Caenorhabditis elegans: one gene and its partners. The protein of the gene in region 1 interacts with the protein of each later gene in a biochemical or structural test. Each region holds a gene or a part of one and is shown in the gene's direction. Other genes may lie near its edges.

Region 1 (10,534 bases):
AGTGTGATCAAATTTTCAATGAAAATTATAGATTGAAAAATTATGATTTAAATAACTTGACTCACTTGATAATTTCCTACCAAACACTTTACTACTTTTTGCCGACCTTTAATAATTGATCAAATTGTTGACAGACAGTTACCAAAGTTCCTCTCAAAGCTGGTAGATTTTTGTCTCTCGCGCCAACAAAATCTCATCTGTTTCACGCCAAATGCGTCGTTTTGATCAGGATAATTCTGAAATAAAGTTAGCTTTTTTGGATATCACACAATTTAGCACCCACGACTTTAAGATGTAAAGAGGTATTATGTGAGATATTTTGAGGAAAACCGGATGCTCAAGAATTTTTAATTTCTAATTTCAGATACGGTTGCCCGCAAACTCCACTTTGCAATGGAAGTTGTCGTTTCATGGTCATTGTTTCACTTGCAGCTTTTTGTATTTCTGTTTTAGCTGGACTCGCGCTACAAACTGTATACGTCTCGTTTCTCGGGTTTCGAAAAACTCGAAAAGCTGTCGAACTTCGTGACACTTTAAGATTAACTGAGGCAGCCGAACTTGCACATTAAGAATGATTTTAAAGTAGTATCAATTTTTATTTGTGTTCAAATCGCGAAATTTTGTAAATTTTTGTAAACAATGATTCAACTTTTTCTCAAATGAAAGTCCCATGCTTTATCTGAGCCATTTCTAAACGTTTTCCCGAGTTTACTGTATTTTATTATTTATTCACATTTCATGTCATCCCATATAAAAATAAAATTTTATTTTTGTATTTTTATGAGATGGAGCACCTTCCGTGTTATGGGTTTTCGGTCCCGTTTTATTTTCTTCGTTTTTTTATTTTTTGGTTATGGTTCCCATTTAACACCTAAACGTTCTTTTTCCCAGCCAACCGCACCTCATGATTGTGCTTATATTGATCTTCACTCTACCTACCGTAATCTCGCAATTTCATTTATTTATTGTCATCAATTGTGACTCTTACTGCCACGTAACATTCCGTGACAATGAAATGCAATACTACAGTATCATGGAGAACACTGCACAGATTTCAAGACATTTTGATGTTCCAGTGGAAAGAGTCGAGTTTCAAATTGATAATTTCTTCAATTCCACTGATTTTATGCCGGTGACAACGAATCTGGATTGGGTTAGTCATCTTAATAAGACCTTTTATCACAAAGGAGATGGATTCATGATTATTGGACACTATTTCTGCCCAGAGTAAGTTTATTTTCAATGGAAATTTCGGTGTTTTCTCAATTTAGATTCATTGAATCTTTAGTTCCCCTTCCAATATTCACAATCAATAGGAAATATAACTTTTCAGAGGAAGCTGTCTCGTCGACCACACCCGTTCCGAATACAATCAAAAAATCGATAAATGGTGCTGTGCTCTTGTTCTACTTGGTTTCTTATTCTTCTTGCTAATCAGTGGAATTGCTGATACTATTTTCAAATGGACAAAGAAGAAGTTAAATGGGAAGAAGATTGAGTCACAAGTCTATAAATCGTTGGAACTTGTGGATATGTCAAAGAAAAATGAAAATGCGCCTGGTGTCGGAGCATGAAAAAAAATCGATTTACTGTATATAATTTGATATCTGTCGCATTTCTTCTATTAGTCTCACTCCCGGCATTTCTTTTGAAAATTTTTCAATTTTTTATCAAACATTATTAAAATTAATAAATTTCGATATGAACTGTTCGAGTTGTAGGGAGCAGACGAATACTGGAAATATGATGTTTTATTTCTCACTTTTACAGAGTATGATCCCGGTTTTCTTTTTTGAATAATATTTTTGAATAAATATTTGTGGTATTAAAGAGGTCAAAATGTTTTTCTTCATAAATAACAAAGCGGTGATTCTTTGAAGCACTTTCTAAATAATGATGGCAAATCATAAAAAATGTCAAATACCCAAGTTTCCAACCCAAGTTTTATAGATTCATTCAAACAGTTACATAGATTGATTTATTGCCCTAAAAATTAACTCAGTCAGTTCACTATATGTTGAACAGAATCCGGAAGGATTAACATAACACGTATCTGTTGGATTACTGTAGATTAATGTATAAAGTCGAGAAAAGTTATGGTAACACTCTCTCGTGTTACATCATTGTGCACAAATAAACCGGAAGAAGAAATTGGGGTCTTAACCAACCTCATACATTTTCTGGAGTTCTAAACTTGCGAGTTTATGCATTGAAATTTCGAAGGAGCCGTACTTGAATCAAAGTATCAAATGATAGAAGTTATTATGCTCAACTTAATTTGGAGTAACACCAGTGGGAAATGAGAAAATATCATTTTCTAGTGCTAAAGCTGTTGAACATTATAATTCAAGTAAATTTCGAAATCTTAACAAATCTTAAATCTTAAGATATTCATTTCCAGTCGAAAAGTGTAGATGACTCTGTTTTTCCATATCATGATTTCGGAAGTTGGCCAGAAGAATGAAAAATGGATTTTCCATCATTTTTTAAAATTTTAATTATATTTCAAAGGCTTATATTCAAGCATTGTAAGGGTTTCTGCGACATGGCTCAAAATGTCTCAGAAAGTCATTTTGAAAAATTTGTTCAATTACCAAAACTGACTGAAAATTTAGAAAAATCTAAAAATGTTCAAAGTTAGCATGCTTGAAATCGGATTGAATTTTCAGAAAAGAGAAAAAAAACTTTTAATAAAAATTATGAAATGATCAATAAACATCTGCAACCTCTACTTTCCTAACAATGACTCAAAATTGTAATCGAATTAGCAATAAACCATCGACAAAGGTCTTCGTGTATATAAATATTGCCAGATTGTCCAATATGACGATTCCACCTGTGCAACTGGAGATTGTATAAGTGTACCTGAATCAATCAATATTCAATATCTGCCATCTTGTGCCGAAATGTTGATTCTTTTCTATTTGTTTCATATTTTCGATTTCTTTTTCTTTTTCGTTTTGTTCCATTTGGCTTCTTTTCTACTACTACGTACGTTGATAACAACATTTTTTGGGGAGGCATGCGCCCACGCTAATAATCTCACAATTTCCCACTAAAAGGTTAGTTTTGAAAACATTTTCCCATTATTTTTAGATGCATGATCAATCAGTAAAAAATCAACTAAAACACAAAATAATCATGAATGGTTGAGATAGAAGGACACAGATGATGATGCACTTGTGCAAATAAAAGTAGGAGAACAAGGTAGCCCCATTCACAATATAACGGAAATTTGAATTTTCTTCAGCAACATTTTTTTCATTTTCATAAGATTTCCTATTATCTTTTTTGTGGTAATTTTAAGATTTGACTATTTTAAAACAAAATACCACCAAAGCTGATAATTAATAACGGCCTTCTAAAAAACCAGGTTTTTATAGAGCTATTGTTAATGCCATTTTTAAATGTTTTCTTAAATGTTACACTCATTTATTAACAATATTGTTATTTTTGAAACCTTTCCTTGGCGGGTTCCCATGCCAATAAATCAAGTCAAGAGGTCTTGAGACTAATCCGTCGACGACAGTTCAAAGTTGCCGGTTGATTGTCACGTCACATGTATATGACACCACAGTAACAGACACCTGTGCTCCTGTTGGCTCATCCATCATTTCCGTGTTTTGGGAAAATAGTAGTTAATTGGTAGCAACAACTATGCGTGAATTTTTGCAACAAATTTGGTTCAGATAGCAATTAATTGTCGAGAATAAGGTTATATTTAATTGTGTGAAACAGTTAAAAAAATAATCAAAAAATGATCAAATCTGTTTGAATTCCCGCCAAAAACAAACGCCCACTTTTGAACCAATTAGCGACTTCGGAATTTCCATACTTAATCTGATTGGTTGAAGAATGGGCAGAGCGAATTGCTGATTGGCCATGCAGTTCTCGTTTTGGAGGTAATTCAAATAGAGAGATTAGAAAACACCTTGGAAAAAGCGTGTTCAATATTTTGATTTGTTTTTTTTTCTAATTCTTACTCGATGTGTTTAGTATTTTCAAGCTCTTTCAGCTTTTGAACAGGAAAAGCTATGAAAAATCTCTTCCGCCTATAAAATGGCTAAAAATCATTTATACAATCTTACAGTTGTTCCTAAATGGATAAAACCAAGATATTACTTTTTGAACAAAGCTTAGAAATTTTTTGCAAGTATTGATGTATAAAACTAAAAACTATAAAGTATCCGAATAAACAGAAATAAACAGAAATAAACAGAAATAAAACTCTAAAACTGACACACAAAGACCCAAAAGCCGCAAATCACCATACGTTCCCAGCAGTTCGTTTTCCTCATCTTGATCATTCTTCCTTCCGTTCCCACTCTCTTCTCTTCCACCTCCTCCTACTTCTACTTCATCCAACCATCTGACATCGTCGTTTCATTTTAAAATCATCTTCTCCTCCTTTTCTTTCTCGATGAAAAAAAAGTCTACTTGGTGGCCGCACCGCGACCGCAACAAGTTGGGCGGAGCCATCTGTCTCTCTCTCTTTTGTGTTCATCCTACCCCCACCCCTTCGCCCTCTCTCGTCCTTTTTACTGGGTGAAGACATAACAATAGCCACCCATTTTTTGATTGGCATTTATTTATCCTTAATTAATGATAATGCAAAAGCTACCAGGTTTGGGTTTTATTAGGTTTCGTTTATTGGTAATAATATATTCCTACAGCTCTCACGAAATATTTAAAATGTTTCGAGCCAAGTATTATAGTTTTAAGAATTGATCCTGTTTCCTTCTATTTTGCCCTTGTTTGTTAGTTGACGATGACTGTATTCCTCTTTTAGTATTGCAACTCACTACTTTACTTTGAAAGGTAATATCTCCGCTCATTTTGATGATATCAAAAACTGATTTTCTGCACAATGGAAAAAATATTTTGTCAGCTGACAATTATTATTTAGAACAAATGACAACTGAGATATAAGCTGTCAACACTAAATAACAGGGGTGCAATATTAGTACGGTCCGATCCTTTGCATTTCTATACCGTTTTACTGTCGTCAACTTTCAAACAACGAATTCACTAAATTAAATAATTCAAAACCATTTTCAGAACCTACATGATCCATATCTAAAAGCTAATTTCCTGTCTCTGTCCGCCCTATTGCTCAACAGACTTTGCTCAATTTCAAAAAATGCGGATCCCTACGATTTGTTTTTTATTTCTTCTTATCTCGTTATCAAAATCGCTTCATATTGGCTCATGTCTTGGCTTAATATGTGGAAGAAATGGTCACTGCCATGCTGGACCTGTCAATGGAACTCAAACTTCTTATTGGTGCAGGTATGTGAAGATTTTGCTTAACAATACTTAAACATTTTTTCAAATTTTAATTCAACGTAAAATAAATAATACAAATCTACACATTTTGAAAACTAATCTTAAAAATACGCAATAAATTGGGGGTAAGGAATATTCCTAGGAATTATGGGATTTCCTTTACAAAATTGTCAACTGACCAAATTTTTGTTATTTCTCTTGCTACCGTTTTGTAGTTACCGTATTTCCTCTATTATTCTTTTATTCAAGACTATTAGAGGAAATACGGCAATTCTTTTTATATCTTTGAAATTAACCGAGTTATAACTTTACAAAGTTAAGTAGCTAGGTGCAATACTAGTAAAAGAAGTACTGTAAATTATAACAAAACATTGTTTGTACCAGTAGACTATTCTTCCATAATCCATGCCCTTTTCAAACAATAATTACGTAATCCGTCTTGATTTATAGCGGCATGTGCTCTCCGTTGAGCAGCTAGCTCCTGATAAGATAGGTGATATGGTTCAAGTAGAGACACGTGTCACTTGAACAACACACCATTAATTTATAGTTGATGTTAATTAATAGGAGGACATTGTTCGCACGGGTTCCCACCATTTACGAAACTTGCGCAACAAGAGAAATGAGCGAGTAATGAGAGAAAAAACCCCACAGAGGAGACACCTGCGTCGTCCCTCGCTGTAGAAAAAACTTTCAATTTTTTTGGGAAAAAGTGAGGGAAAATATTGTAAAAACAATACTTTCAGGGTGTTATGGGAAAGTTGGAAAAAGTCGGGTTTTGGATAAATCAACTTCAGAAAAGCAATTCTCAGCCATTTTTTTCCTGCCAATTCTCGTCTCAAAGTCGAAGAAAAACCAGGCAATTAACCCGCTGAGATTCTCATTAAAATGCGAAAGAGAAGCAGCTTTTCCCCCTCCTGGTCTCGCACCGCCGCCAAAAAATCACCCAAATCGGTAGTTTATTGCCATGGGAAAACCGAAAAATACGGGAAATTGAGGGGAGAATTCTTCTTAATGACAAAAAAATACTGGTCTTCCACATTTTTCTTATCAAACAAAAAAGAATGGGGTAGGATTTATGACCAAGTTCCCAAAAGAAATGACCAATGGGGGGTTACTGTAAGATTACTGTAGCTGGTTTTGAACTCCCTATCAGATGTATTATCTGTCAAAGTTTTTCCCGAAAATTTAAATAGAAGTATAGAAAAATGTTTGCACTTTCTGAAAATTGCTTTACTTTCAATTGGCAACTTCGGAAAACTGCAACGAATGCCACTTTTACTCGGCATTTTGAGACTTTGAATGAGAAAAAGAATAGTCTTCAAAATTGCTTATCTTATCACAAATGAGGACTCAGTTGCCACCTCACAATTTTACAGCCGTGTTCCCAGTTTTGTCGGCAAAACATACTGTCGAGTGAGCCTACCATCAGTTGTCATAAAACCATAAAACAATAGGATTACGGTGCCTTTCGGCTGCACGACGTCTTTAATCTTTAACCCTAACCCTTCCCAATGTTTCAGATGCGATGAAGGATTTGGTGGTGAATATTGTGAACAACAGTGTGATGTTTCAAAATGTGGAGCCGATGAGAAATGTGTTTTTGACAAAGATTATCGGATGGAGACCTGTGTCTGTAAAGGTAAGATAATGTAATTTCGAGCTGAATAACTTATACACAACACTTCCCATTGCATCTCATTTTCCTGCAAAACCAATGAGCCAGTAGTGGTCACTTTTTTGCCCAATTCCCATAGGGACCTAAACACCCATCACTCATTTTTTTTAGCCCTCCATGGTGGCGGTGTTGCGAATGAAATGTTTTTTTGGCCCAAAATTCCAAAACTAGGGTCAGCTGCGCGCGCCCTTTTGTCGGTCATCTTTTTGACCACACCATCCATCATAAGCACATGCCTGGTGGAATTGTGGCAAACAACTGACAAAGTTGGGGGTGAATAATAATTTGAAAGTGAATAGGTGGATTTGAAAATTCAATGGAAGTTAAGAAACTAGGAATTGTATCATTTTTAAGACTAAACGAAATATTCGAAGATTAAAAAATAAGAATTTACTTACTCATTGTTAAAGCTATCACAGGTATAATAGCAATAGGCCTATAGGCAACGCGTATACAGGTCTAAATGTCTGCTTCACGCTGACTTGCCGGCCTACCGTCTAATTTTTTAAATGTTAGCTTGAACTCTGTAGTTTGCTGTAGATTGATGTTGAAAATTCAACAAAAATTGAAGACATTAGAAGATTGGAAGTTTGTGGCTACATGTGTAATTTATGCGAAACAGACGTAGGCTGCCTTGTAGGTAGCCAGGCAGGCATTTCCTCATATTTCGAAAGCTTACGAAAACTATGCTTTAAACTTTATGCGCTTACCATTCCCAACTTTCAAAAATTTTACTAATCGTTTTCCGTTAAACCATTTATGAGTATTGCTCCAAACTTCATCAATCTGTAGTTAGTAGATATTTAACAAAGTTACGGCAACCAAACACCTCAATATTTCATCATGACTCGTTTGTATCGAGGACAAATTGAAGCGCGGCCAATCTTTTTCCATTTCTCTTCAGCTCATTTGTCTTGTTGGCGGCGTTAAAAGTGACCGCGTAAGGTGCCTGATAGATAGCTCCTAGGTCATCTGCCCCTCCTAGCCTCTCTGTTTCATGCGCGCTTCTCTATTGTCGATGCGCTTCTTTTTGGCGCGATTTATGTCTGATGTTCGGTATGTGTGAAGAGGGCGGTGAATTGGGCGACGACCCGATGGCGCCTCGTGTGTGTTGCCAATTCTTGGGAAAAAGTGGGATAAATGACCTAGAAATGATGAGCAGATGATGATAGTATATAGGATTTGATGTAGCAGAAGTCTGTCGGAGAAGAAGTGGCAGACGTGGGAAAGTATACATTTGGTTATTGTACGACTAGGCTAATAAGCAAATATACAAGTGGAATGGTTACAGGGATAGATCAATTTATATATTAAAAATAACTGTCTGCTTTTGAGTTCATATGGGTAATGTAGGAGTACTGTAGTTTCTGAAAAAGTGTTTTTGTTTTTTGAAAGGATATTGGAATGAGGTTAGTGGATACATGTTGTATGTGTACTGTAGTGGTAATGCAGGATACTGTAGGGAACTGTGATTATTGTAGTACAATTATTCATTCAGATAATTATTCCAGTTCAACACAAAAATATCCTAGACTTAACTTTTTCTAATATACAGAATAATTATGATAGTAAATTTCAGATTGCGACATTAACGGAAACAGTCTACTAAAACCAAGCTGTCCATCCGGTTACGGAGGTAAGTACTTCCATATTCTAATGCAACAATAACCCGAACAAACAAGTGTAACAAACCACTAATAGCGCCCTGTAATTATCGGTTCCGATTACGTCACAGTACACTTGAGCAAACTTAACGGATTATTGATGGGCATAGTTAGTTTAACAGAGACAGGATTACTGTAGCCGTATGACTTTCCCGTCAACACCGATCATCTTCGAAATGACTCTATAATTACTGGGGGTCGTCTTCTTGACGTCTTGATAATAGAAGGTCGTGGGAAACGAATTCTGAAATGAATTCAGATTCAAAACATTCTAGGTTACGGTATACTTTTATTGGGGCTTTTGACACGTTCCACAGTAGTTGCAAACCCGAAAGGAAACCCCACTGAGACTAGGTGCTCCACCTGTTGTCGGATTGATATAATCTAAAAGATCATGACTGTTGCGTGTTTCCTTTAGTAATAAGATTGACACCTAGTCTCATCTTAAAGATATGTCTTAATTGGCATGCAATAGGCAGTGGTATATATTTAAAAGTGTAATAAAAAATTTTAATTCAGAAAAGAAATTGTGACTACTTCACTTTGAAAGGTTATATCTCGGTACATCTTTGAATATCAATTAATAACCAAGTACTAACCTGTAGAAAAAATTAAAAATGTTTCATTAAAATGTTTCGTTGACATTTTTCAAATAGGACAAACGACAACTGAGATATAAGCAGTCAAAGTTAAAAGAAATACGGTATACGAACTTCCATGAAATACGAGATATCCTTGATGTTTCTGAATTTCAATTAAACCCAATTTTCTAACAAGTAACTATTTTGTTCGCGGTATTACCTTCACAAAGTAGTCTAAAGATTGTAATGAGTTTGTCATGGTGCGTCGGCAAACTTTTTGATGTGATGTATGTCAACTGCCGTGCCTCTTTTTGTGTTGCGAACGAATTTGATACTTGTGGGAAACCACAAAATATAGGGATTAACGAACTAAGGATTACTGTAGATTTACTGTAGAGCATTTCAGGAGACGACTGTAAGACACAAGGATGGTGTTACCCGTCTGTCTGTATGAATGGTGGACAGTGTATTGGAGCTGGAAATCGAGCAAAATGTGCATGTCCAGATGGATTTAAGGGGGAGAGATGCGAACTTGATGTCAATGAATGTGAAGAGAACAAAAATGCATGTGGAAATAGGAGTACTTGTATGAATACGGTTGGTTAATTTATGATTATGTAGAAAATATAGAGTAGGCACTTTTAAGACACCCAACTTCTTGTCAGTTTTTGCAAGAAATTTATATAAAAATATAGAGCAATATTTGTTAAATCGCAAAATATCTGTACGTTTAATAGTAAGAATTGGGAAGCTTCTCAAAAACCGACAAAAATATTAGAATGCCAATCGGCATATAACGCTTGGCACATTGCGATTTTGCGGCAGTTTTCAGCAATTTCATTAAAATTCCAATTGAAGGTATAGATACTTCCGGACAGAAAACAAAATTTCTCTATTTTTCGACATAAGGATTTGACATGAATCCGTAAAACGCAATTTATATAACTTTTAAAACTTTACTAATTAGTCCTTGGTTGATATATATATATATATATATTTGTGCCACAAGTTTTAGTTACCAATACAATAGGTTTTGAAACTATGTATGACACCGTTTTTGGTATTTGAATAGAACATCCCTAGAGTGTTGCCTGAAGCTAAATCCAGATCAATTCTAGAATTGCATAGTTTCCCATCGATTACCGTAGTCCTTTCTGCAGCTGGCGATGCGAACCGACACGCGCGTACTGCCCGGGCGAGGGTGACGACAAAGAAATTTGCCGCCCTTCGTTTTGTGCGTGTGTATGTATGTGATTCAGAATATTTGAGATTCAAGGGCGTGCAAATATTATAAGAAAATGAATAATAAGGGGAGAATAATTTAC
Region 2 (10,355 bases), on another chromosome or scaffold:
ACACACACCAGTTCCCTCCCCTTTTTCTCTCTTTTCAACGGCCAGTTCGCCATCCCTTTCTCACACATTGTCTGTGTATATGTGAGTGAAAGAGAGTGTGAGAGAATGCCCGGAGGCCGTCCCTCTTTACTTGTCAAGAATAGTATATGAGATGAAGATGCGCAGACATTTTGAGAAGTGTGTCCTCTCTCTCCTCTCTCTTTTTTCCTTCTTTTCATCGTCTGCAAACGGCCCCGCAACCGACCGACCACCGACACAGCCCACAAGGCCAACCTTTTTTTCCCACTCGTCGCTTTTTCCCACGATATTCCATCTTTCACACGTTCCTCTCTCAAGCATTTTGTTTTTCCATCCAGGCTTTCTCCGAACTTTCTAGCTCGTCTAGGAGCTAGACTAGAACTACAGTACCTCTTGATCAGTGATAAGAGACTGGGGGCACTCCTACGGACTGTCTCTCTAAAAGTTTCCCAATGACTTTGGTTCTTTATTTCACTGCGTCTCTGTGGGAATACAACAATCTTCGGTGTGGTTGGGGGGTTGTCTTTGTGGCAATGAAGAGACAACACATACGCACACAAGATGATGCGTCCCTGGGAAACCCCCCCAACTGGTGGGAAGATTGAAAAGTACTAAGAAATTGCAGTAACTTTTAAAGTTGACTAGATTCTCGTATCTCGGTGTTACAGCCTAACTTACAGGCATGCTTCTTCTAGATTCCAGATGATTATACGACATTCAAAAATTATTTTGGTACTTTTCCTTTTCTACCCCGCATTTTCAGAAGAATATTCCAATCATTGAATTATTCGAATTTAATTCTCACGTGAATGTTCATTTTAATACTATTTTCATTTTTAGGCTTAGAAAACAACATTACTAAGCCTAAAATAAAAATTAAAAGCTTTCCATTAATTCGTAAAGAATCATACCTTGATTGACAAAATATCAACAATCAACGGAGAACTTTCCTGCTCTTGCTCTCTTCCTGTTATCAACTTTGAATTGTTATCATAGTTTTCCCGTGTATATTTCTCACACAGTTCTTATTTTACCGAACCCGCCGTCCTGCCCGCCCATATTCTCGTTCGTTCTACGCCGCGCCGTCTTGTGTGGACATTTTCCCACCGACGCCACCCTCGGCGGTTCTTTTTTTCCAGTCACACACTGATTTCCATATTTGTTTAGCTGGTATACATTTTCAAAAAATGTCATGACTGAGGTGTCGCTGGCGACGGCGGCGGTCAGTACCAGTCAGTTTCTCAATGTTTTGATGTTGAGGTTCCCATGATGCTCTGGGCAATTTCGCACATGACGCGGTGACGGTCGAATTTTTTGATTAAAAAAAATATCTGAAAGATGCTTTTTCCTGATTTTTGAAGAGCTATTTATTTGGATACAAATTGGAATTTCAGTTTTTGATTTCGATATTTTCTCTGTAGAATTTGAAAACTAGTTATATATTCTATGCCAGTATTTGAATTTTCTACATCGTAATCATATTAAAGCTGGAATCGTGAAGGCAGGTCTCGTCACGATCTGGGTAATAATAATTCCTCATTAGATTGTACAAAAAATTTGAATTATTCCAATCCTTCACACCTCTAAGATCATCCTCTCGTATTTCAAACTTCGCCTATTTATCAACCATTCCAAGGAACATTACCTTTTCGTGGATACATGTTGCATTTCTCTTCTTTGATTCTCTTTTCTTTTATGTTTACTTTTTCTGCGTTTCTTCTCACACCTTCTCCAGCAGCTCCTCTTTTACCGATTACCCAACATGACCCCGTCGTCTTCTTTTTCTATTCAATATAACAATTTTATGTGTCCGTGTTTGTGTGCAGCAGCAGCAACACTTTCCTATCTCATCACCTATTCCTTGACGACCGTTGATGATTCTTCACTGGCTTCTAGTACTGTAATAATTAGAGACTCGAATCGTCGTTATTTCACTGTAAATTTTATAAATTGTTCCATACTTTGCACCTGCACCGACACACAATCCGAATCTCTCGGTGCATTAGAGGTGGTAAAAGTGTCCGATTAGATTGGAGATTAAAATAGTTATTAGGCGTGAGAGAGAGAGAGTGTCGGTTGGTTCAAAAAAGGAGTTGTGTGATTGACTTTTTGAATAAGGAGGTTTTTTCAAGCCGAGCAGTTGTTGAGCTGAATAAGAAAATTCTTTTTTTTTTATTGGAAAGACACAAAATTGTTAAAAGTTGCGCAGAAATCCAAAACTCTCTTTTTTAATGAACAATTAAAGTTAAAAAACACGAGACTTCACTCAAAGTAAGAAAGTTCGTTCCCCCTTTATCGTATTTCAATTTTCTTGTCTTCTTTCATAAATTCCCTTTTTAGATCTTTAAAAATTATACATATAAAGGTAAAGGAAGTATCCGATCAGAAAAATTCGATAATAGACCCCATTTCAATCTGGGGTGTGATTTTCCGTGTTCCAATCGGCTTTTTAGTACTTTTTGGAAATTTTCCTCCTTTCTCTAAAATAACGGTAGTACAGAATAAGGAAATTTTTTTTTAATCCAGAAGCGGCCAGCCAACTGTATAGGAATTTCAATTTTTTTTAATGTGCTGAACAATTTCGAAATCAAAAAGACCCTACTCTCCAGCTGATTACAATCATCTGATCGATGTCATATTTCTTTTCCCAAAAATAATTTGTCTTGTTTCTCTAATTACTCTTCTCTTATCATCACAATCTCTCACGTTTCTTCTGTCTCACCAATAAAAACGGGGGAATCCCCCTGCAGGTTCAAGTTGATATCATTAGAAACCTGTTTTTCACGCAGTCAATACTCTTTTTTTTCCCTCGATAAATTGATCATTTTCTCGGCTTTGGGCGTGGAAATATTTTCTGCAATAAGATGTGTTGAAAAGTCAGAAAAAAGAAAGTGTTCATCCCGCCCGTTGTCGTAGATCATTTGTTTTATGGCAATTTTCATCATCATTTTGTAACCGTCTTCTTCCTCCTCTTGCGCATCCAATCCACATATCACACAAAAATGTACAATACGAAAAATAGGTCGGTCTCTTCACATTTTCATCACCAAAAAAGTGTTTTTGCAGAGAAAAAAGTGGTGATAAATGTGGAACTTATAACTGTAAACACATTTAAACGAGGGCGGCGAAATTAGATATCAGACATATACGATACAAAAAAAATTAAAAAATCTGTGTGTATTTTGTTTGTAAAAAAATAAAATAATTGCGAGTGCATTTTTTTCAGATTTGAGGATAAATTTTAGAATTCATGGAATTGGAGCATTCGATAGGTCGAAAGGAAAGTATTTTGAGCATTCAATTCGTTATATCAGTTATCCGACTCAAAGCAATTTGTTCTACTTTAGAATTAACGCACTTTTTCGATTCTGAGAAATTTATTCAATTCGAGCTTCTTTCTGTAATCAGATTTTACCGCAATTTTTCAAATCTTTTTTGCTCTTCTTTTCCATATTAGCATTGTTCGTCTCAAAATTTTATTTTTGATTTCGAAGGCTAATTTCTTCTTTCCCAAAAATTCGTACTCATCTATGACCTTTTACAGTATCAAAGAAACATATATGCATTTAAAAATTATTGAAAAAAACTGTTTGAAAATCTCAAAATTTTGTCATTTTCAAACTTAAAACTCGAAGAACATTTGAAAAAAATACAGTATTCGCTTCAAATATAATCGTTTTCATGATCGGATTCTCTCAGAATTTCATCTTCAATCTGAAAATACTAGATTTAAGTGATTCCGTGGATCTTCTATTCTCGTTTCAAAGCTTCACACTCCTGCTTTTTTAGTTGTCCGATCTCTTGTTTCTTACCATATTCCGACATAAAAATCCCGCCGAAACCCATCAAACTTCTTCTTCTCGTATACGAATATAATATGTGTGGGTGCTCCGTTTTGTCGCACAAGTACCGTACCTCTGCTTCCTTACCGATATTCTTTTCTCCGAATCGACGACAAAATTTAATGATCGATTCGGAGGCGGAGGTCGAAGTGGTGGGAATAGAAGTGATAAAACATACGCACACCTCCCGATTTTGTCGATTCTTCGTGTATGTGTCTCCCCGGCAGTTTCATTCTTCTTCCGAGAGCATTATATTCGGAGGTGCTCCCTTTTTGACACGTCCCTCTAATTGTTTAAAAACCTCTTTGGATAATTTCCATGAAGTTTTATTAAAGTTTTAATTTTCAGACTGGGTGAACCCGCACGAAATCTGGATAAGTTTATAGGTAAGTTCGTAATCAATCCATCGAAATTTCAAACAACGTATCATTGAGTTCCAGAAGCAATGTTCCAGTCGGTATCGCCGCTGGCCGGTGTCGCTGCAGCGCCGAGCCAAATTGCCGCACTTCAACAGGTGAGATTTGATTTATTTTGGTAGTAGAAATCATCAGAAAATTCTAAAAATTCGGAAAATATCAAAATTACAGCAATAAATAAAAAATTGAAAGTAAAAATGTCATGTTGCCCAGTTAAAGGGGTATTAAAGTTTACAGTTTTGGTCAAATTAACTAAAACTCGCCCGAAACAACTGAATTTTTTCAATTTTTTCAATTTCATAACGAGACTTTTCAAAAAATTGCCGGTTTTTTTTTTGAGAATTTTCGTTATGAAATTGGTTCGTTTCAGGCCAGCTTTTGTATAGTTCGGCAAAAACTCAAAAAATCTACTCCCCCTTCGAAAAAACTTGACAATAAGTTTCCGATTTTCAAGAAAAAAACGGCGCATGGAGTAGTATTTTTAAAATTAAAACACCTAAAAATGAGAACTGAACTATTCGCTAAAAAGTCGCTGAAACCAGCGGCAAAATATTAAAAATCCCAAATCCCTACGGAAAAATTCAACAATGGGCTCTATTTTGGTCACTTCCAAAAAGTCGAATTTTTTTTTATCATTAGGCCCTTTTTTCCTTCCTTTCATATTATAAGAATATTCATTTTTAGATATGTATTTTGAGTTTTTTGCTTAAATATTCTCAGAAAAAACCGTTTCTCACAAAATTTCTCAAAATCATTTCTAATCGAATCAATCAATTTTCCCAGTCCCCCGAAGCACGAAAAATATTCACAAAAGCCTTTAGTTTTCTCCCATAACATTTCTCGTATTGTCGCTGGGACTCACTTTTCAGATATATAATGTTGAAAATAAACTTGCATCAATATTTCAAGAGAACATTTTCTAAATTTGTATTTCCCAAATAGTTCCTATTTTTGAATTCCTAGTTTTTTATTCATTAAAAAGTTACAAACTGGAAATTTTTCTAAGAATTTTTCAAATTTCAATATTTTGGGCAATTTTAAATTTTATAAACTATAATTATTAGTTATTTGAACTATATTAGAATCTAAAATAATTTAAAATAGACAAAAAAGGCGTACGGAGATGACCTGTAATTTCCCAACGTCTGCATTTATTGATTGTCACCCCATTGTGTTCGAGTTCAAAAATTCGATATTTTTATCAACTTTTGATTTATTTTATTTCAGATACAAGCGTTGATGACATTTCAAATGCAGCAGAATAATTTATTTCCCAAAATTGACACTATATCGGTTAGTTTTCACTAATAAATTCTTATATTTTAAAATGTTATAATATCAATTTCAGAAATCGCCAACTCCAGAACTCGCATCTCCATCGGCAAAACGAATGAGACTTTCTCCCAGTACGAGTAGCCACAGTGATGTCGCATCAACTTCGAAAGGAACAAATGGGCAAGATCAGTCGAAAAATTCGCCGACAAATTGTGAGTTTTGGAAATTTTCAAAATTAAAAAATATGTAAACTTTCAAAATTCATGTTCTAGACCATTTTTTCCCCCCAAAAAAAAGTCGTATCAGATACATTTTTCTGATTTTCCCTTGCAAATGTGTTCTTCCAACTGAAATTTCCCTCAAAATTTTTCCCTTTCCCTTGTTATTTGGGAAACTGAAAACCGCCGAATGGTGAGAGTGTGAGCGCGCGTGTGCTTCTGTTAGCTGCATCGACTGGTGGCTAATTCATAAGCCCACTCTCTTTTCCCGTCGAATTTTCCCACGTCGATCGATAATTTGAGCAGTGCCGACGGCTCAGCTCAGCTCTCCCTAGACTTCTTGTGTGGAGCTCTACGATTTCTTGATTTTCTAATGATTTCTCTCTCGAAGCACGAAAAATTCGAGAATCGCTTGATGGGGAACTTGTTTTCATTATGATTTGGAAATCAACGGAAAACAAAAAGGAAGAGACCGACACAGTTCTGTGAAATAAATATAGAAGTGAATAAAAATATGCATAGTTGTCCATATTCATGTGGGAACTTTTGGTGCTCATCTCTATTTGACAAGAGACCACAAGGAATCGAGTTACGCAGATGGTTCACTTCACACGAATAATGATAGAATGAAATAGATCAAAGACAGAGAGCTATCAAGGAAAAGTACTGTACCTGGTCGACAGGTGCCTGGAGGTACCATCATGCTCTTTGAATTGAGCACACAGTGGACAATGGCCGTAGTGCAATTTAAATGAGGTGTATTAGTCAATAGAGAAGATAGTAAGAAGTTCCCTTTGTAGGTTGACTCGACAGATATGATTTAATTCGGATGTCTCCAAGAATCCAGAAATTCCGATTTTCCATATATCTGAATGTGCACTCTTCCCTATCAGTCATCCCCCGAGAATTTTCCCCAACCAACCAACCCATCGATTTTCACACGAAGATTCACACTCATGAATCACTTGAGATCCTCTTGTCTTATCGTTATCCCATAACTTTCTTGACTCTTCTCGTGTGATGAGAGGCACCACCACCACGACGGAACGCAACAAAGAGATCACCTGTGTATACACATGGTACATCGGGAAGGCAACAAGTGAGGATTAAGATTTAATGTAAATGAGTGAAAGTGAATGAAAGCGACCGTTACTATATTAGGATGGTTCAATTTTGAACGTCTTTGTTTCCAGATGCCACTCAATTAGCGTTCACCTATTCAGTCATGAAATATCCGAAGAGCTCAACGCTCTCTCTCTCTGATTGGATACTCTGACTCCGCCCATCTACCAGTTTGTCTTTCTGTGTGCTTTTCCATCAGAAAAAGCTATAGACTATATGAAGAAGAGAAAGAATGTTTTCGTGGAGGCGTGGCGATTGTGAGTCGCAGAAGGAAGAAAACCGAAGTGAGGAAAGGAAAGGAGAGGAGACTATTCGTTTTCCCACCCGCTCTCCTTTTCATTGTGTGCTCTTCTTGCTGACAGACGGCTTCGTTCTTCACAAACCCACAGCCAGCCCCACCGTCGGTTTTTCCCCCACAATATTCAGCTTCTACTATTCTCGGTGGGAATCTTCGCATCGGATATCCCACGACGAGAGCGGCTTCTGCACCGCGAAGACCCCCCTTCAAGACTCGACTTTCACGCGCCACCCATCCACATCGGTCCCATCGTCGCCCTCAACGCCAAGACACTCCGGGATGGATTATCATCAGTCGTCTTCGGTAGCTTCTTCCGAGTCGACAGCGTCTACAGTAGCCGCGGCGGCGGCTGCTGCAGCTGCTGCATCACTCAATCAGCATCATCATCCACATCTATATTGTGATGATGGACTTCTATCGAGAAGTTTAACTGATATGGTATCATCTGGTGGATATGATAGCTCATCATCTTCTCTAAGTGCAGCTGCATCAATGTGTTATCCGACTCCTGATGCATATTACTATCATGCTCCACCACCACCACCTCCTCCACAAGCACAACAGGGATTCAGTTCAACAGACGCGTGGCTTCAAATGCAAATGCAACCCACGTATCATAACTTTGGCAGTACTGTCGTCTCTACCAATTCCCCACTTCCAAGCCACCTTCTCAGTTATGGAGGACAACCAGCATTTGGTGAGTGAAATTAGTAATAAACGAGGTATTAATTGGATTACGTAAATTCTGAGAATTCGTATTTTGCAACTTGTTAGCCGAAATATCTCGTATAGACAAAGCGCTACAGTAGTCACTTGAAGAATTATTGTAGTTTTCGCAACAGAGATGTAAGCTATTTAAAAATGAAGTGAAATACTGATAGAACTAGTATAACAAGTACAATAACCTAAAAACTTGTTCTGAGATAGCTCAACTCAATCTATAAAGTCAAAACATTCCTAACACCATTATCATGTGATAATTTTTCGAATTTCTCACCCTTATCAGTCTGTAATAAACTATTCACATAAATAATTTTACTAGTAGTTCGCATCTCGTTTGAGGTCTCACTGAAAGGGTTCCGCACTGTGTGCCAATACTATTTTATTATAATGGGCGCACGTCGCGGCAACACCAAAAAAGAATCAAAATTATGCACAACGGCTCTCCTGTGGCGGCTAAAAGACCGGGCGCCACCCACATCGTTATCATTCTCCTGTGTCTCACACACACATTCATATTTAAAACGACAAGGCCACAGACATTGGTTTTTATTCAATCCCTATTGTATTACCTCTATCCCATCCCACATTGAACATTCCTCTCGATGCTCAACCCGTACTATTCGTATTATCCCTATTACTATGGGGTTGGTGGGGCTCCGTCGTCTTCCAATGATGTGCCAACTAGTGTGATATCTAGTACCACTAGCAATACAGTAACTGCATCTGATGGTGTTACACTCACGAATCTCGAAGCACCGAGCTCCGTGGCACCACCGCTTGCTCCGACTTTTCCGCCTCCGAATTTCTCAATTCCATTCAATTTTGATTTCAATTCGTTTACAACGGCTTCTACTACGGCCTCGCTTGTAAATGCTTTCAAGAATAATAGATTTCAAGCGTACGACCGTAAGAATTCTAGAAATTCCAGCGGTCAAGTAGAAAATATCTCAAAAAACTTGGGCGGAATATTCAAATTTGGTGGGTTTTTGATAAAACTTGGTTTAAATCTGCTTTAAACTGAAAGTTTCTATTTAATTTCCAGCTGATCCATTCTACACAATCGGGCAGTCAACTCCAAACACATCATCATTCCTGGACACTTCAAATTCAAGTTTTGGAGCTCCGTCAACAGTGGTTGCCAATCCGATGACCAACTATCAATTGGCATTTCAAGCGAAACTCGGAAGTCTTCACAGTTTGATTGGAGATTCTGTTCAATCGTTAACAAGGTTTTTTTAAAAAAAAATTGATTTAATGTTAGCAATAATATTTTTTTTCAGCGATCGAATGATTGATTTCTTGTCAAACAAGGAGAAGTACGAATGCGTCATATCGATTTTCCATGCCAAAGTTGCCCAAAAGTCATATGGAAATGAGAAAAGGTAAAGATAAAAGGAAGACAGGTGGCGAGAACAAGCTCTTATTTAGTTGAACACAAACCACTCAATATTTGTTCATAATTGATACACTTACAACATACACAGATAGGCTCTAATGTTTTGGTTCTTTTCGAGCAGGCAGGTGCTCTCTCTCATCTCGGGTATCAATTAGATGTGGTTACGGTAGCTTTTAGAGAGAGAGATCCGATTTTCATTCTGAAAAAATTCGTTTTTCGATTCGAAAAAGGGTACGAAAATTGAAAAAAAAACCGCGAGACTGCGCCGACTCACGTAGCGTGGGAAGATTCGATCATATGTATATCACGAGTTACTTTTGATATGCTGAGTACCTTTTTCTACCGGGTATACGGTAACTCTTTGCCTCGATACATGTCTACTAAGACCTGCACGGCTACCGACTTGCTAAAGTTCAGGAATTTGCAGATTGCCGAAAATTATTGGTTCGGGAAGTTATGGGGTTATTCAAGTAATGTAGCAAAATGTATTAAAATACATTTGTGACGTCACAAATGTATTTAAATACATGTTTTTATATACTTGAATAAGGTTGTGACGTAATTTTTCTACACTTTTTAATTTTCCGACACTACTTGAATAACCCCATTAGGCAACTGTGGATATCAATTTCAAATTTTTTTTTTGAAAAACGCAACAACACTATAACATAAATTTTCAACTTATATATATATATAAGTTTAACCAAAACCGAAACTTTGGCGATTGCCGGTTGCTTGATCTACCATGCCTTCCTACCCTTCTTACCAAGTACCGATATTCATGTACAAGGACTTCCACGTGGTGTTATACTTGACACACTTCATCATCCAGGCTGTCAATTAGGCTTGTATCCCTTCAGATTTGGTTGTTTTCTAAGTGCTCAGACACTTGCCTAATTGGTCCAAGGAGGGGGTTAAGCTGTTAAATACGGTGGTGTTTGCCACTTGTGTTGCATTAAATATTGTGTTTCTCTGTACTAGGTTTCGTAAGATTAGAATACTAAGCTGCGCGAACATATGGTCGTTAACGGTCCCCGAGAGAATGAG
Region 3 (10,388 bases), 5.4 Mb from region 1:
AGAACTCTTGCAATAAAAGGAATAAACAATTGCCGAACGCTTTTAGATTCTACGGGAATTTGTTTGGAGATGGATGCAAGAAGAAAATCGGAAGTTTACAGCTTCAGTGGGCCGGGTAGAGGACATCTAAATTGTGGCAATTAATTCCAAAAGAAGAACTCTAAAAGATGCGTAATGTTATTGGCTTTTTATTAGAATATCTGATTTTTAAATTAAAAATCTTTTTTAAAAAATGTTTTGTTTTTTTCTGTTTTTTTTCCTATTACATATTATTTAATGATAACATTTTGATTTCAGATAAGAAACATTTTAATCAAAAAGAACACAAATTGTCAAAAAAAACATAGCGATAAGGCGTGGGAAAATGCGGGAAAATGCAGGCAGACGGAGAAAAAAAGAAGAAAAAAACTAACCCCGAGAGGAGTACACACGACGATACTCCGAAATCCCGCACCCGCGTGTTGTTTAGCCAATATTTCTTTTTAAGTTTTTCGCTGTTTTTTCGAGCAATTTTCGTCAATATTTTCTAGTTTTAAGTCTTTAATATTATTTTTATTTGATTTTTCAGATGCTGAGAAGTCTGTGCTCAATAGCTGTTCGACTTGGCGGTGCAAGACAACCTCGATTGCTGTCCAGCGCAGCTTCGGGCGATGGAAATGATGGTGTAAGTTTTCCGGCTCATTTTTCAAGTTTTAAACCAGTTTCTTCCAGAAAGGTGCAAAAGACGCGATTGATGAGGATTTGCTGAATGCGATTGAAGGAGTAGCGAATAATATTCACCCGCAGAATGGCTCCGAAAAGAAATCGTAGGGTGAAAAATAATAAAAAAGATTCAAATATAACTTTGCAGACTAAAAAATACATTGATCAATCGATTAGTAGCAAACGAAAAAGCGAGTTTTGATGCTGCCGCAGCTTCTGCAAGCAGTGAAATGCTCGATGATCAGGCACTTATCGGACTTCTTGCCGATGTGGCGGGCGATGCCAAAGTTGAGAAGAAGCTTCCTCCCAAGTGAGCCATTTTCAATGATCCGTGACAAATTTCATTTTTTTTCCAGATCCGCTCAACTTCGACAAGAAAAACGAGGACTTGTTCTTCTCAGAAAAGAGATTTTCTATCAGGCAGTTCAAAGTGGCTTCACGACAGAAGAAGCTCGTGTCAAATCAGAGACAATTGTCAATGAAGCACAGATAAAGCTCCAAGAGCAGCGAAAAGCTCTTCTAAATGATGTTAGAGAAAAGGTGGAACAAGAAGAAGTTGAAGAGACGGAGAGAAGTGAGAAGGATCAGAAGTTGTTCACGATGGCCTTGGAATTTATGGAAAAGATTTACAAGGATGATTTGATTAGTAGTGCTGTTCGTAAACCTGTGAAAGTTGACAATGATGCTATTAAATTGTTCAATCAGAAGCCTCTAGGAATCTGGAAAAAGGGCGAAAAATATGAAGATTTTTCCCTTGGCTTCTGGAAACAATGGGATGAAAGAGCTGCAAGGTAGATATTTATGAAATCAAATGGCTCAAAATCCCGAAATTTGATAAAAATTGCTAATTTTAGCTGAAATCTCAGATTTTCTCAATTTTTCCGTTTTGCAGCGATTTGTTTCACACATTTTTGGTAATTTTTAACGTTGTTTCGTTGGTTTTTTCTTCATAATTCTATAAAAACAATTTCCAGTCGCTATGGTGCGAAAAAGTTGACAAAAACGAAGATTTTAGCTTAAACTAGTGAATTATCAGAAAAACTAAGTATTAAAAATTTTGAAAGATTTTTCTAAATTTTGCGTGATATTTTCAATTTTGTAAAAAAATTTTGTTTTAAATATTCGCATTTTCCGGCTGAAATTATCGTTTTTTCGTGATTTTTGTCTGAAATTTTATGTAAATTATATAAAAATCGATATTTTTTTCCTTTTTTCACGGAAACTAACGAAATTTTGCCGGTTTTCTAAAAAATCCAAAAAAAAATTGGATCAGAAAATTAACCATCAAAATCGATTTTTTATCTAATTTTGTTCATATTGATGATGAAAAACATAAAAATGTCATTTAAAAAGAAGAAAAATTATCATAAATTCAGCTAATTAAAAAAATCAAAAATTGAAACATCGGAAAAATAACTAATATCGAGAAACAATTTTTTTTTGATTTTCAAAAAAGGAAAACGAAAAATAGAAAATGTTTCAAGTCAATCAATTCATGAAATTTGGCATTTTTTTGTGTTGAAAAATTGAAAGAAAAATTGGAAAAATGTAGAAAAATGTTATAATTTTCTTTACTTATTTGATCATTCAAATCCATTATCCACCTTAAAAAAACCGTTTTTTTTTCAGAATTTCCAACGGCTCATTCGGACCAACAAATTCTTTCGAAGAACAAATCGAATGGACAACAAAAGGAAAACAATGGGAATATCCAATCGATAATGAGTTCAAAATGGGCGATGAATCGAATGTTTCATTCATTGATCACGTATTCTTGGAGAGACATTTACCATCATTGGGTATCCCGAAATCTGGTCCAATTGCTCATTTTATGCATTTGGTTTGTGTTGGTTTATCCAAGAATCCATATATGACAGCAGCGAAGAAGCGGGAACATTTGAAGTGGTTCGCTGATTATTTCAATACGGAAAAACAGAAATTGGTTCACAAACTTCACGAACAGGAACAGATTGCTGCTCAGAATGCTCTTTAATTTTAATTTTTTTTTAAATTTTTGTTTGAAGGTGGAGTACCGAAATTTAACCCGAATTTCGCAATGAGATGTTCTGAAAATTTCTCAAAAAAAAAATTTAGGGTGGTTCAAAAAATTTCGATGTTTTTCAGAGAAAAGCGATTTTTTGAGAAAATTTTGAAAAATTCGATTTTGTTTTTCTGAGAAAATGTAATAAATTCCGATTTTTTTCGGAGAAAATTTTTAAAAAATTCGATTTTTCCGGGAAAGTAAAAACAAATTTCAATTTTTTTTTCATAGAAAATCTGAGAATTTTTGATTTTTTCAAAGAAAATCAGAATTTTTGATTTATTTTTCAGAAAAAAACCGAAACAAAAATCAATATGCGGAATTAATTTTTAATTTTATTTCCTTTTAATGCATATTTTAGTAATATATTACGCGTTTACTCGTTGAGAGCGCACAAAATTATATAAAATTTGTGCACCCATCAATTGAAAATGTATCTAAATTAATTAAACTATGTATTAAAAGGTGTTAATTAAATAAACAACAAGTTCCGAAAGTTTTTAGGCTTTTCGGTGTAGAAAATTAGTTGAAAAATCGAATATTAGATAATTAAAATACAATTTACCAAGAAAAACGACTCTTGATAAACAATAAATTTGGAAAAAAATCGAATTTAGATTAAAAACCAAAAAAAAAACCTTAAATTGATTTTTTTGCTGAAAATACGAATTTTTCCATAACTTTGAACTGCGAAAACCTTTTTTTGAGAAATTTTCGGAACTTTTCATTATAAAATTCGAAAGTTTTGGGACATTTTGAATCTGATTTCGGTACTCTATCTTTTAATAGTGAATAGGATTTTTCTTCTTCTTTTTTTGTTTTGTTTTTTATTTCTTTAGGATTCACTTTTAATTGTTATTTATCTCTTTATCATTTTCTGTTTTTCATTGTGTACCCCCAGAGTTTTTTTTCCAACAAAATTTATCCAAAATATTTGTTTCTTGAAATTTGTTGAACAACTTGGTGGATAGATCCCCGCGAGTAAGAAATATATGAAGCGGAAAATGTATGAAAGTCTCAGAGACTCCAATTTTTGGGCTCTTTTTCAGGCATCAACTCTCATATGTGTCGATGGATGATCTCTCGGAATTCTTTGTGATTGAGGAGATGTTTATTTCGGAGCCAAGGTGCGGTTTTCTCTTTAATTTTGAATTTTCCGGGAAAAAATTTACCTAAAAATTGCCTCAATTTTACATGTTTACTCCGAAAAAATAAGCAAATTCTATGAAAATAAAAAAATAGGAAAAAATATCAAAAAAGCACAGTTTTCAGGGTTCCGTCTTATAAAAAATCCTTCTAAAAATTTCCGGCAAATCTGATATCCGGCAAACCGGCAATTTGCCGAATTTGTCAACTTCCAGTGGCTTTTGAAAAAAAAATTTCAATTGCTTTTTCGTATAGAAAACTGGATTTTACTACCTGAAAAATTGAATTTTAGATAATTAAAACTATATAATTAAAATACAATTTACCAAGAAAAACTACTCTCTTGCTAAAAAATTTTGGAAAAAAAATCGCATTTAAGAAAATTGAAATTTTTTAATTAAAATTAAATTTACCAAGAAAAATCACTCTATTGATAAAAAAAAATTTGAAAAAAATCAAATTTTGTTTAAAAAACCAAAAAAAAAATCCAGCAAAATTTGCAGCAAATAAAAATAAATTTTTTGCTGAAAATACACAATAATTTTTGATGAAAAGTTGAAATTAGCGAGAAAAATATAAAATTTTTTATACTTTTAAGATTTGTTGGTAGCAGAAAACAAAAAAATTCCACTAAAAAATGCCAAAAAATTTAAATGTTTTTTCCCGAAAAATTGCTGAAAAAATTGAATATTGTTTTGAATATTGACAAAAAAATTCAAAAGGAGAAAATAGTTTCAATTTAAAAATTTGAAATCACATACTTTTTTTTTGTAACATTTGGTGTGATTCATGATTCCCAACTTTGAAAAAAAAAACCATGAAAGTCTATAAAAAACCTCGTGTCGATTTACGCAGCTCGTGTACTCCCCGAGGATTTTCACCAATTCTTGGTGCATTTCCCATTCAAAGCGTAATTTTTGTTCTATTTAAGAAAAAGCCTGTAACATTGCCGAGAAACCTCGAAAATTGAGCTAGTTTGTCCTTCTAAAATTGGTTCTGAAAATATATTATTATTTTCTTTTTTGAGAAGTTGACCCTAGACAGTGTTCCTTGAAAACTCCTATTATCCGTATTTACACACACTTTTCCTAGAAATTTTTGAAGTAGAATTCACCCAAAAATATTCATTTTCTCTATCTAAATGCAATCTAAATTTCACCAACTTTTTCATTTTTTGTTCAATATTTCATCCATCTCCATCTCCTTCACTTCGACAGAGACAACGGAACCAATTAAAATTCGACGATGGCGCCCGTCCGGGACTAAACTGCCAAATCATTTATGTGGTCGTTGTCGCCTCTTCTCATCACGCACCTCCAATGCTTTCGTCCTTTTGACTGACTTTTTGATAACCTGTCCGCACTTTTCAGTGTAAATGTCTATGTGAGACAATTGAGTGAAATTCTTAGATGAAATTGAGAAGATTGAAATTGATTTGAACCTAAAAACTTGCATTTCATTGTGAAGTTTTTTTTTTTTTAATTTGAAGTGCTCTGCAAAATTTTGGTATTTTAATTATTTTTGCAATTTAGAAATTTCAAGCAAATTTTAATTCCGGCAATTTGCCGGTTTGCCGATTTGCCGGAAATTTTAAATTCCGGCGAATTGCCAATTTTTGTTTTTGCCGATTAGAATTGAAATTCTCATATTTCCAAAATGCAAAACCACAATTTGCCGAAACTTTTCTGCAATTGCCGTTTTTCCGGCAAATCGGCAATGTGCCGGTTTGCCAATTTGCCGGAAATTTCAATTCCGGCAATTTGCCGATTTGCCGGAAATTATTATTTCTGCCAGTTTGCCAGAAATTTTAATTTCTGCCAATTTGCCGATTTGCCGGAAATTTTCATTTCTGGCAATTTGCCGATTTGCCGGAAATTTTCATTTCTCGCAGTTTACCGGTTTACCGATTTGGCGGAAATTTTCATTTCTGCCAATTTGTCGATTTGCCGGAAATTTCAATTCCGGCAATTTGCCGATTTGCCGGAAATTATCATTTCTGCCAGTTTGCCAGAAATTTTAATTTCTGCCAATTTGCCGATTTGCCGTGAAAAATCGTTTCCCATCCACCCCTGCCTCGAATCTCTGCAATTTCCAGAATCTTCTTTCTAATGCTCTAGATTTTATCTCAAGTCCTCTGGTTCCACCTGTGACCTCTATAATTACCGGCTGCCAATAACTGGCTCAGTTCCAGGAATATTCATTCCAAAAAAAGAGGCATTGTGTCATAATTGCACACACCTGCAACTCGCTTTTTTTTGGATTCGTCCATTTTTGTAATGTGAAAAACTTTTTTTTTTCAAGTTGAAAATGAAGGACACCTGGCTATCGTATCCATATTTGTAGGTTTTAGTAGTCAGAACTCTCCATCGGTCAGATTAACCAATTTTTTGAAAGAATTGTAATTTTACAATTCTAAATTTTCAATTAATTCTGCCATGGTTTGTACAATTAAATTGCTATAAAAATTTAGATTTTCAAAGTTTTGTAGAGACATCAGTTAACAATTTTTCGATAACGTAAAAGATATCTGAGTAGCAAGCTTCACTTGGTGTGAGAGTGTCCCATTTCGGGTTGATCTACTTAGATCTACGAGAATTGCGGAAATTTAGACGAAGACTTCTCAACTTTTCATTTCACAGTGCTGACGTGAAGTTTGAGCCACCGAGCAGTCTAACTGAAGTTTTTTTGGGATTCTATCAGATCCAACAGTTCATACAATGCTTTTTCTCAGGATATAGCAAGTTATGTTCTCTATTTTGCACAGTAACTTTTTCTCCAGATCTAGACTTTCCAGACCATTTTCCAACATCAAAAGTACCCGAATCTTCCCTGTGTATGCCAATTGAGTTGATCCGGTTAATACCTCCTTCTCGGCAATTTCATCTTCTTCTTCGATTATGACGGCCCTTTTTGGAGGGTGTACCACACACATACACAAACACGTGCAGGTGTCGTTTGCCATGCTGCTGCGTCTCTCAATATTCAACACACTATCCATCGATCCATCGGCTCGCTGCATATAACTCGTACAGTGTCCATTCCTTCCTGTCTCTCTCCTTCTCTCCCTTTTACGGGCGGTGTGTCTCCATACTATCCATCCGTCTTCTCGTCGCTCGCTCCATAGCTGCAGCAGCAACGAGGCGATCACGGTTTGTTATTGTTGCAATTTGGCCTCCTCTTCGTCCCGCATACAGTTGGGTGAGGATGCCACGATTATGACCTCCTTCTCGCTATCTCTCCGCTCTCCGTATCGCTTTTTTGCTCCTTCTTCAACCAGTCAGTCAGATACGAGTTTGTTTATGTTTGTGTCCTCGTTTTGTGGCCCACTACGACCTGATCGTTGACGCCGTCTATGTCTCTCCGTGGATAGAAACAACAAGTAGTGACCATTCAGTTGCATGTTTCACTTTTTATAATCTTTAAGAAGGAAAACAGACAAACAAACACGTGCGCCAATTCTGCGGTTTAGTTCCGAGCCACCAGAAAACGACGACGAGAAAAACATGTGGCTTCCTATTTTTTTTGCGAACCAACTTTTTCCCCAAATATTCATTTCTTCTCGGAAAAATATAACAGGGATGGCTTTCAAAAATATTCACTCCAAAGTTGAGAATCATGGAATTTGAAGACTTTTCACCTTTTTTATGTTACGTGGCCGCGAAAAAGTAAAACTCGGCCACAAATTTTTTTCCGTCTCTGCAATTGCAAAAGTTTGAATTTTTGATTTTCTATACTCGAGCTTTTCTATTGGAAAACCCCATATTTCATCCGTCACATCCTTTTATCAGTAGCATCATCAAAGTTAGTCGCTTCTGGCTCCGGCGAGCTCCACCAATTAATCATCATCATAGCCAGTTGAAAAACGGTTTTAGAAGCCCCTCTAGTGGATGACACCGGTCTGGAGAAGCAACTCGAAGACATTTGAAACAACGGGAGATTGCGTGTCTGTGCGTTTATAAACACACACGGAGAAAAACGCTCGTCGCATCAAGTATAGAAATATGCCTCTCTTCTATTTCGTTTTCTTCGTTTCGTTTCGCTTATTCCCACAATGGGTTTAGATACATTTCTTCGGAAAAAAGTCCTTCCTTTTTTTGTTGTTTCAGCAATGCGGAGGAGGTGGTTGCTGCTTCGTCATTCTGTTTTTTTAATTCGCGAAGCTGCTGCTGCTGCTGCCGCTTCTTCTTCTCGCCAGCACATCCTACGAGACACACTCCTTTTCGTTGTCGGTGCTTTATTATTTATTCCCTTCTCTCTTCTTGCTCACGAGAAAGAGCGGCGCGACTCCGTAAATTTCTTGGCACAATCTAGTGACGTGGTCGAAGAGACTAGGTTGTCAAGTTAAAAGATTAGTGTCTCCTGTCAGACAACAACGTCATTTTATGACTACTCGTGAAATTTATGGAAGTTTGAATATAGAAATTTCTCATATTCAGCTTTTGTTTCAATTTTCTCCGAAACCGGACAACTAACATGTTTCTCCTCGTTCTCTTAGTGTTTTTTATTTATTCTCGAGAATAGATTGAAATCTGATTGCTTTTCGCTTTTTTTTGTTTTCTTCCTTGATGTCGGAGGCAAGTCGTGCTTTTTGGAAGCTGTAGATCAAGGAATGTATATTCCAAAAAAGGAGAATCAACTTGAGTAGCCAAGAAATGGGCGGAGCTTATTTCTGGATTTTTTTTACAAACAAACGAATTCTCGAAAGTTCCAAGTTACCATTTGGATCTCAGACTTTCTGGAAATTTTTGATGTATCAGGCCCATGTTGTATTAGTACAAGCAAGGCTTCCTTGTAGGCGCCAAACGCCTGCCGCGCCTGCCTCGCGCCTTCTGTATGGTGTGGCGTGGACCCGAAAAGTGTCGGCCGCGGCGGAAGAACTACCTTTCGCACTATGTAATTGGAACACCAAGCCTTTGACTTCAAGCCATATTGCAGAAATAAGACAAGAGGCCGGCGTAAGGCGGTAGGTTGAAGGCAGGCGCAAGGCCCTGACACCGCGCCTGCCTTCCAGGGAAGCCCTAAGTTCAAGCAAATGAAAGATCACGTAGATCCTAACGTCCCGAAATTCGTGGTATAATACATTTCGAAGCTGAGCTGTATGTTTTCCATGTGGCTATCTCGGTAGTTAAAATGGAAAAAACGACATGTTATGATATATCCTAACCGACTTCTCTTACACGTGCACACACACACATTCAGTATAGAACGAAGTTGCATTGAAGAGACATAGACAATCAAAAGCGGAACGATGCGGTGACTTGAAAGCCCGAAGAACACAACACAACCGATTTGTAGTCTCTCTCTCTCTCTATCTATCTACGATGAATTATTTTGGATGAAGGCGCGGCGGCGGTGGCCACTACCACCATCTTTTCTCCAATTCCTCATCGGTGACGGACACCGCTCTGGTGACCGCCATCGGGTTCCCCCTTTTCGATGATCGCGCGCGGGGCGCCTCTCATTTATTTCTACTCTTCGTATATGTCTTCCAATCGTGCTTCTCGCGTAAACTGATGATCTAGTAATGGAGGCAAATGTCCCCGATCTATTGAAGAGAAATTACTTTTTTCCACCTAAAATGTCATCGATAATTGACAGTGCCCTTCTCCTCACACTCACTATCATTTTGTTGTCGCCGAAAATGATGATGTTTTGGCGCGTTCCTCTCTTCTCTTTTTCTCCTTTTTTTCCTTTCCATTTGTCTTTTTTTTCCGAATGTTTCGGCAGCAGACCTGGTTATCAGTTGGTTACTTGGCTCGCTTCGAAAATTGAAATTGTTTTTTTGAGTGATCGAATCAGAAGTCTCACTTTCATCGTATCATCATCATCTAACGAACACATTATGACAACGTCGGCGATAATGGATAATAAGTGGAATCGAAACTACGAATTATGCCTTTTTAATGGGGGAAGAAGTCGAAAGGGCAATTGCGGGTCACTGAATACTTCTTCTACTAGTATGTAGTATCTCACTTCACAGCTTCTTACACTTTCCGCTGTTCCTACTTCTACTATTTTCTCTCTTTTTCTCCTTCTTTACTCGCCGGTCGGGTCGTCGTCACTGACGTCGTCGTCTTCTTCTACTTTAACAGAGTATTCCTCAATAGAGACTTAGAGAGACAAGAAGTGAAACACTGGTCGAATGATGACGGCGTTAGCGGTGATGGTGGTGGTGGTTGTGTGGGGGTATACGCGGCCCCCCGTATGTCGCTCTTTTCGTGTGTCCGTCCTCTGTGTGTGTGTCTTGGAGTAGTGCACACTCGGCTGGTAGTGGTGATGGTGGTGGTGGTAGTATCTCATCCCGACCGCCAAGCGGCCCTTCTACCAAAAGGATATGGCTCTTGGAGGCGACACAGAGTGTATGTGTGTGTGCTCTTTTGCCCTTAGAAGAAACGAAGCACAAAAAAAAAGAGGAGAAGAAGAAAAAGAAAGTCGATCAGTTTGGAAAGAGGTTGGTGCTGCATATAGCCAGCTTTCCGTATCTTCTTCTCTTTCTTCT

The links.
Region 2: the proteins of lin-12 (region 1) and lag-1 are reported together in a solved structure, tested with the Caenorhabditis elegans proteins (one study listed by BioGRID).
Region 3: the proteins of lin-12 (region 1) and sel-8 are reported together in a solved structure, tested with the Caenorhabditis elegans proteins (one study listed by BioGRID).

Annotation. Positions count from the first base shown.
Region 1 is NC_003281.10:9,065,995-9,076,528, reverse strand, and holds the start of lin-12 (lin-12/Notch intracellular domain), read left to right. Parts: upstream 1-5,056; 5' UTR 5,057-5,140; coding exon 5,141-5,289; intron 5,290-6,809; coding exon 6,810-6,928; intron 6,929-8,543; coding exon 8,544-8,600; intron 8,601-9,615; coding exon 9,616-9,806; intron 9,807-10,534. Other genes in the region: F02A9.1 (uncharacterized protein), read left to right, coding at 365-569; F02A9.7 (CX domain-containing protein), read left to right, coding at 905-1,227, 1,334-1,574. UniProt on the Caenorhabditis elegans protein: Essential signaling protein which has a major role in many developmental processes; involved in cell fate decisions that require cell-cell interactions. Probable membrane-bound receptor for putative ligands lag-2, apx-1, dsl-1 and osm-11.
Region 2 is NC_003282.8:6,097,214-6,107,568, forward strand, and holds the start of lag-1 (Suppressor of hairless protein homolog), read left to right. Parts: upstream 1-4,374; intron 4,375-5,503; coding exon of another isoform or gene 5,504-5,569; intron 5,570-5,624; coding exon of another isoform or gene 5,625-5,763; 5' UTR 5,764-7,123; coding exon 7,124-7,886; intron 7,887-8,954; coding exon 8,955-9,141; intron 9,142-9,192; coding exon 9,193-9,294; intron 9,295-10,355. UniProt on the Caenorhabditis elegans protein: Transcriptional regulator that plays a central role in lin-12/Notch and glp-1/Notch signaling pathways, involved in cell-cell communication that regulate a broad spectrum of cell-fate determinations.
Region 3 is NC_003281.10:3,620,547-3,630,934, reverse strand, and holds the start of sel-8 (Protein lag-3), read left to right. Parts: upstream 1-3,792; 5' UTR 3,793-3,814; coding exon 3,815-3,870; intron 3,871-9,290; exon of another isoform or gene 9,291-9,415; intron 9,416-10,388. Other genes in the region: mrps-31 (Small ribosomal subunit protein mS31), read left to right, coding at 569-664, 712-806, 851-1,012, 1,059-1,493, 2,332-2,695. UniProt on the Caenorhabditis elegans protein: glp-1/Notch and lin-12/Notch proteins promote signaling by recruiting lag-3 to target promoters, where it functions as a transcriptional activator, probably as part of a complex with a Notch intracellular domain (NICD) and the transcription regulator lag-1.